2 linked regions of the Oryzias latipes genome follow. The protein of the gene in region 2 purifies or fractionates together with the protein of the main gene of each other region. This does not show direct contact. Links are inferred from orthologs where the notes say so. Each region holds a gene or a part of one and is shown on either strand. Other genes may lie near its edges. The genes, in order: ift57 and ift27.

Region 1 (4,053 bases), on a different chromosome or scaffold from region 2:
ATGACGTTGTTTTTAAAATATCTCATAAAAACCTGTGTGCAAAGGGTATAAAGTATGGAAAAAGGCACGAAAATAATAAACACAACATTTCTGTAAGCTATAAAATATAAGGGACACGGTTGTTTTGTATCATTTAATCACCTTTAAAACGTGTTTATTGAAATATAATTTTGATTTCACTTTTCTTTTAAACAAGCTTAAAGTCAAGCGGAAGGCTTTTGCGGAGTTATTTATCTCATTTTGAGTTTTCGATGGGCAGTTTCAGCAAAACAGAAACAAAGAATGAACTCACCGATGCTTTTCTTCTGGATTACTAAGCGGAAGTGTGGAGGAAAATCTTCCTGTAGCCGCCAATCTCTTGCTTTTTCCGTTTCGTTTAGTTTTTCTGTTCTTTTGTAGTATTTTTTTTAAATAATTACATGGTTTAGAAAACCCGACAGTGTGACGACGCCCCGCCTGCGCATAAGGAACAAACAGCTGCTGTCAAACAAAAACAAAAAAACATGCTGCTTCCGGTTTGACTCTCCAAAGTAAATTTATTCCATGCGTTAAAAAGCAGAGAACATTGAAAGCCAAACTTACCAAGTTTAAGTTAGAAATATTTAAGTGGATTTATTGAACAGTAGCAAGTCTCAACATATTTTCTATCCTAAGCAAAAAATAAAAAAATTAAAATCCTTGTTTATTTTAAAGGCAGGATAAGGGCTCAGGAATAGTGCCCTGACAAGTGTTGGTATAACTTGCTAAATAACTAACTGGGATTTCTTTCGACATTTTACTAGAACACTAAAGCAGCTCTTTGTACTTCTCGATGATTTATTTTCCTGCTTCTTAAATATGTTTGTCATTTCTGACAAAAACTACAGTTTATGTACATGTTTTTTCAAAAATTTCAAAGTAAAGGTTCAACGAATTTGGATTTCAGTGCAGTAACAGTGACCTCTAGTGTTCATTTGGCTCCAATTAATGTAAACATTTTCTGGGTCCAGATGATTTAGACTTTTGCAGTTCAGGTGTGTTTATTTGTTTATTAAAGGTAGTAAAAAAATAAATGTTTGAAATTTCAATAAATGTTTCATTTGTAACTGATTTGAAAGAACGACCATTTTGTTTCAGATCAGAACTGGCTCCGGTTTGACCCGGTCCGTGAGTGCTGCTAAGCGAAGGGCCCTGCAGTGGGCTCAGGGATGTTGGTGGCGTGCATGTCGCGCGTCATGTTGGACTTCTCCTTGAGTTTGGCCTGCAGCAGGGTGTGCTCCACCACGCCGATCCTCAAGTCAATCTGCACGATCTCCTGCTTCAGCTTCGTCAGACTCTGGTTGATCTTTACCACCGGAGCTAAGGAGCACACACACACACACACACACACACACACACAAAGTACCCGGGTCAGACTCACAGCAAGCAGAGACACAGAAGACAAACGCACAGCAGTGGCCTCTGCTTCACCTGCATCCGACATGCTGCTGCCCTTCTCCTCCATCTCCTGCTTCACCTTGTCCAGCTCCTCGCTGATCTGAAGCAGAGAAACAATCCTGCGGTCTCACAGAGATGCATCTGCAGGGCTCATCAGCTTTAAAGAGGCATTACTGCACATGGAAGATAAATTGGAAAAACCTTCCATGTGTGTAAAAACTAAAAAAAGAAAAACTGGATGTTTCAAAATAAAACATCATAGGGATAAAGATAAACTTTATCACAAGTACCCCAATTTAACATTTTTTAACAATCAAAATAAAAATTTTGATTATTTTGTAGTAAAGAACAAAGTTAAAACACAGGACTTTTATAGCTATGTCATTAAGATTACAGTTATTAAAAATGGTGCAACAGCTGAATGATGACAAAGTGTTTATTTTATCTTAAGTTATTTTAAATAACTGCTTCTAAATAGTTTTAATGGCTTTAGTCATCTTTTGGTTTGCTGCTTATCCTAATCAATGATCTTGTTTGACTTGGTGATGCGTTCACTGACCTCAGCCAGGACTCTGCTTCTCTCGGTCACCCCTCCACTGGCCTGTTGGTAGCGTTCCTTGGCCTGCAGATTGAGGATCACATAAGGTCAGCAGCTGAAACTCTTTGAGGTGTCTCATTTGTGTGTTTGTGTGTGTGTGCACCTCGCTGAGTTTGGCCTGGGCGCTGCGGTACTCCTGCACCGGAAGCTCTAGCTGGTTGTTGATGTACTTCTCCCTGCTGCTCACTTTCTCCTGAGTCTTTCCGATGTCTTCCTGCAGCTTGTCCATGTAGCTCTGCAGCCAGAGAGAAGATCATAAGTATGTTTATTCTAGGGGTGTGACGATTCATTGATGAATCGATTCCTATTCCTACAATCCAACCAGATCCATCTGTCTAAGGCACATTGTTAATAGAAATCAAATCGACCTATAGAATCCTTTCAAAATTAAAGAAAATACCGTTTGGATTGAGACATGGTAGCTTTCTTTTACTATAATGTTAAAACAACTAAGGATAACACAGAACAACACACATGTGATGTCAGCATGAAATGATCAGCCCATCATTCCAGTCCAATGTGTGGAAAGACTCAAAGTCATGTGACCATTCAGTGTGGAAGAATGCTCTAATATTGTTCCGTTTGTGTTATTGTGATGTGGAAAAACAACAGTGGGCTGAATTTTTATCAAACTAAAACGTGAATGAATTTTCCATCATTTCTTGTTTGTTTGTTTACATATTTAATTTACACTCGATTATCTTGCAAGAAATCCACAGAATGTGGAAAAACTTCACCTGCCCTTTTCGGTAGCCAGGTATTCATCTCTGAGTCACACTGGTTACATTTTTGGCTAAAGATGTCCTGGATCGATTTTAGGTCGGTGAATCGGATCGTTCAAAAGAAACTAATATCAACAATGAAACGTATCAGAAACCACAAATGATGAGATGAATCGAATCGTCATTAAAAGGAATCGTTACAGCCCTAGTTTACTCCAAGGACACACAAGGATCTCAGTCTGAACTGTATGTGACTCTGGGGTTTGTTTTCCAAAGTGTGGTGCAGCCAGATCTGGTGTGTCATGAGTCCTGGTCTCTGGTCTGATCTGGTGTGTCATGAGTCCTGGTCTCTGGTCTGATCTGGTGTGTCATGAGTCCTGGTCTCTGGTCTGATCAGAACCTTTTGGACTTTGTCAGCAGTATGGCTCGGTTCTTCTACAGTCTGTGAACGAACCTTGGACTCTTTGAACAGGGAGTCGATTTTGTCTTGGTACTGATGCATCTGCTCCAGGTGGACCCTCCAGTCCTGCAGAAAACGGAAAAAGCAACACACCACGGCATGATGGGAAAGAGCGTTATGTTAAAGCAGAAAACTGGCCTCAGCGCTGACAGCTAGTAGATAGAAATCCTCCGTTTGAACCTTATTGTCGTTCCTGATGGTGACTTTCAGGTGTGGTATGACTCTCTCCACCTCCAGGTTCCACTCTGCAGCATCCACAGTCGCCTCCAAGATCTCCTCGGGTTTGGATGACAGTTCTGGTTCCTGTCAGACAGTAGGTCTGGTTTAAGAGCTCGACTCCTCTCTGAGAGGAACAGCCTCTGTGAAGGATCTGACCATTGAGTGTGTGAGAACTGGACTAAGCTAGTGAGACGTCTTTCTATGAGCCACCTGGTAGAACAGAGGTGGGCACTGAGGGCCGCATTCCTGCATGTTTTCCAGCATACCCTGCTCTGGCATGTTCTAATTGGCTGGACACACCTGAACCAGGTAATCAGTCATGAGTAGGGCAAGATTATTGGCTGGACACACCTGAACCAGGTAATCAGCCATGAGTAGGGAAAGGCTATCTTGAAATCATGCAGACACACCGGCCCTCGAGGCCTGGAATTGCCCACCCCTGTGGTAGAAAATGCCTCACTTCCAGCCCCAACCAAAAGAAGTCAATTCAGTCGCCTTTTTTTTTTTGCATAACGGATGCCGCCACGTTGAAACCAAAGGACGTCAGAGTGGTAGGACCGAATCGATCAAAGTCATCATTTCTATGGCAACCACTCTCGCCAATCAGGAGTGAGCTTGTGGAAGTCCACACCCCTAGC
Region 2 (3,824 bases):
CCTTGTTTAAAGTTCAGTGAAAGCTTTGTTTGTTGGTAAATGATTTGGTGTGGTATTAAGTTGCTCTCTCTAAAACCTCTCACAGTGCAGGCTGACTGACTTAAGGTACTTTTACGCAGAGGGATTAACACGGTCACCACACAGATCATCTGGTTACACGCTCACACGTGCTTCTTTGGCAAGAGCGGCTGGTGCTAAGTTATGTAGTAGATTCTAAATGTATTCATGTTATGCATGTAAATAAAGTTTTGTGATCCTCTTCATAATTCCCTTGCATTCACACTTCCTACTTTAAAGCAACCTCTATCTTTAGTTAATAACTGCTGTTTGTACGTGACTAGAATCTTGTGACACCACATCTTTCATATATTGGAATAGAGAAAGAGTGAAATAGTGAAAATGACTACAGCAGGATCTGTACTTAACATGTACTTAATAAGTCAATAAACCACATGGAGAAATGCAGTAAGTGCAGTTAGTCTGTCACTGGAAAAGCATGTTTATCCTTTCACGTTTTGTGATGCTAGTTTTAGGTTTTATGTTTCTATACATAACATTTGCAAAAAAAAGGAAAATGCTTTAAATGTTTCCAAGTCCCATTTTCAAACATCTTTTGATCTATTTTAAACGTGTTTCCAGTTGTCTTTTAATTATGATGATATAGTTCTTAGCCAAAATTTAAAAAGCTGTTGTTTTCTAGGACATAGTCTCTTGCAGAACGGCAGCAGTTTATTAGAAATTTGCCCCGGTTGTGGGCAGAACCACTTAAAAATACAATTTGAATCTTAACTTTCTTTTTTTTGTCCTCCATCATCAGAAAAAATTCACAAAAACATGTTAAAAACACCAAAAACACAAGTTAAATGACTTCTTTTGATAACATTTTTATTTGTTTATGTGATGTAGATGTTGTTGTTGTTGTTGTTTTCAATGATGTTTTTGTTAATTAAAATAGTTGTGGTTTTCTTTTCAGTTGTAAAACTATGATAAAAGAAAGTCCTCTCACTGCTCCTGTTTTTTCACTTTTGGTTTTGAAGGGTAGCCAATTCCGTAAGTCATTCTGCTTACATCCTCCTTTGAAAATGCCAGACAGCCTGTTAGCAATATTGTACGATATTTTTCGCTAACAGAACCTCATTGACATTCCACAGAGAGGCCTCCTGTGCATCACAGCAGCTCATTAGACTGCTGTGGAGTGGGGCTGCAGTATGCTTCTCTTGTGCATCTATGTGCACAAGAGGCAAAAGTTGGGTTAATGCAAAGTTGTGTATTACATTTTATGCCGCTGCCAAAATCCTTTTAAAACTTTTAGAAGTTAACAGTTTGCCATCCGGTATTTGTTTACGTAATGCATTTACCTCCACTGAACACACATGAAGCTCACACAGCATTGCAGCAAATTGATTTAAAACCAAAAATATATATATTTCTACCAAAGAAAGTAACAGTCAGGGAACACAACCAGCTTTCTAGTAATTATTAGCAAACCCTTTTCTTTTTAATCAAAAGCTTGCATTCATAATATCTTAATGCAGGCATGTCCAAATGCTGCCCGTCATTCTTAAGAAAAAAATACTCTAGATAAAATAAAGGTATTTCCCTAATAGCTCTGCATATAAAAAACCCTTTTTCTGTTTTTCAGACAACAGGAGTGGAGCTGGTGGTGAAGTGTATCAACATCCCAGAAACTCCACACAGCGTGGTGAGCATGGTCTCCTCTTCTTTCATAGCAGCTCTCAGTCTGTGGTTTTCCGGTCGGACAGTCAGTGCATCTGTCAAAAAAACCCGTCTGAACTGAGCTACAGGAAACGGAAGCATGTGGTTGCAGTCGGTAAATAAATGTATTTGTCTCATTTTATTTTTTCATTTAGCTGAAAATTTGACATTGTACTTGTCGTATAGATTGTATGATACTTCAGAGGACTAACACAAAATAACAGACTGCTGGTTTGCCTAAGATGAGTTTAGCACTCAGCTGGTTCACCTCTGTTTTATTTATCTTAGGGATGGATGGGGTGCTGATATCTAAAAGTCAGTTTCTCATTTGTAGCAGCATGGAGGGAGGAAGAGAAATGCTTCTGCCAGAAAGACAAGGAAATGGGAAACTATTTAACTAAAATTTTCTTTGTAACACATCTCGTCATTTTTCTTTGCTCCTTTCCTCTACAGGAGTTCTACATCTTTGACTCTGCAGGGAAGGAGGCCCTCGTGGATGCCTGTGAAAAACTGGTAAGGCTGCTTCTCTGGAGGTTTTTTCCGTTGTAGCTACCATACCCGTTCGGCCTGGAACCTCTCTTCAGGGTCCTTTCGACTGAAGGTAACGTCCCACTACGGTAACCCCACTTGGACAAACTACGTAACGTCGAGATCTGCTCGGGCTCTACAAATTTTCCTTTCACGTTCCCTTTTGTAACCTACAGTTATTTTCCCTCATAAATTGTGTCTGACAATATTCTTTGTAATTTTTATAAAGAGATGTGGCCACAATCCGCTTGTCTTTTAGCTTGGCTAAAAATGTTGTCAGCTAAATGTTGTTCTTCCGAGTCCGTTCTGTCAATAATAAAGCACTGGGCGCACGGATTGAAAAAACTATAAGCGAACATGCATTCAATAATAATAATAACAATAACAAAGGCACTTTAAAAAACAATCTCGCTTTATGTCAGAGATCTGTTTGTTTGCAACAGACTTCATAATATTTTCTTTTATGGTAGTATCCTAATTTGTCCAGACCAATCACTATCTGACACGTCATCGGACCAACGCACAGCCAATCACATAATGTGACGTCAGCATTAGTCCCAGGACCCTAAACGCAAGTTCCTGGCCAAACGGTTATGGTACCTACACCGTCTTTATAAAATGGTTGTTTTTTTTTTCATGGAGAGCTCTGCACCCACATAAAATGTAGAGCCAGAAATCTGACCCAGAGGACGATTAAAGGAGAAAACCGATGTGATACTATCAATCCTCAAATTTATCGTTATTGTGATATCAAGCTGTGCAATACGCATATCGCAAAAGTTAGTGAAAATTGCAATAAATGGTTACCTTAAACTTGCTAAAACAATGTTATGGCAGATTGAAATATTTAACAAATCAAATAAATCCCTTCATGCATTTGACAAATCGGATTGGCTCTTTTAAGTTATTGACCAATCAAATGGAGCCCCTTTATGTAAGATGCTCACCTCTATGTAGACAAAGGTCATTTGGAGCATAATTTAAGTTATTTTAACTCTTATCTAAATTAAACTTTTGCAGTGAAATGGAAATGATGTATTTAGTTGTTTTGCTGTTCTTTCTTGTATCACAAGTTATATCGTCATCGAAATATTGATCACTAATATCGCAAATCGCAGGTTTTCCTCATATCGTGCAGCCCTAATGGACATTCATTTCCTACAACAGTGGGGTGAACCTTCCCTGTTTTGCCTCGTTTTTGATTTGACCAATGAGCAGTCATTTGTCAACTGCGGCCGTTGGTTGGAAAGAATCCGCCGACACTGCAGAGGTTTTCGTGTTCCAGGTAAGACACCACATTTATTGAATAATAAAATTAAATGGCCAAAAAATAAAATCTCAGATTTTTTGCAGACCAAATTCAATTTTAATAGATTTTTTTCTCTTTCCCTTCATGTTCTTTAACGAATATTAGAAACGACAGAAAATATTTACCAAAAACTATTTTATTTTAACATCTCCTTTGGAAATTGGCTAAAACCCAAAATTCAACTAAATACAAGCTGAAAAATGTCTGTAGAACAACTGTAAATGTTTTGTGCGCTACTGCTATCTTGAGCATCTCATAAAGAGAAGCACTA

What was found.
Region 1: the proteins of ift27 (region 2) and ift57 purify together in Homo sapiens (co-immunoprecipitation; 3 studies listed by BioGRID and IntAct, with this or other methods). This does not show direct contact. The link is inferred for Oryzias latipes from reciprocal best matches to the Homo sapiens genes IFT27 and IFT57.

The regions. Positions count from the first base shown.
Region 1 is NC_019875.2:10,097,874-10,101,926, forward strand, and holds the end of ift57 (intraflagellar transport protein 57 homolog), read right to left. Parts: intron 3,500-4,053; coding exon 3,377-3,499; intron 3,263-3,376; coding exon 3,191-3,262; intron 2,250-3,190; coding exon 2,118-2,249; intron 2,039-2,117; coding exon 1,976-2,038; intron 1,517-1,975; coding exon 1,450-1,516; intron 1,339-1,449; coding exon 1,157-1,338; 3' UTR 519-1,156; downstream 1-518. UniProt on the Homo sapiens protein: Required for the formation of cilia. Plays an indirect role in sonic hedgehog signaling, cilia being required for all activity of the hedgehog pathway.
Region 2 is NC_019859.2:24,935,464-24,939,287, forward strand, and holds part of ift27 (intraflagellar transport protein 27 homolog), read left to right. Parts: intron 1-1,642; coding exon 1,643-1,702; intron 1,703-2,169; coding exon 2,170-2,229; intron 2,230-3,411; coding exon 3,412-3,529; intron 3,530-3,824. UniProt on the Homo sapiens protein: Small GTPase-like component of the intraflagellar transport (IFT) complex B that promotes the exit of the BBSome complex from cilia via its interaction with ARL6. Not involved in entry of the BBSome complex into cilium. Prevents aggregation of GTP-free ARL6.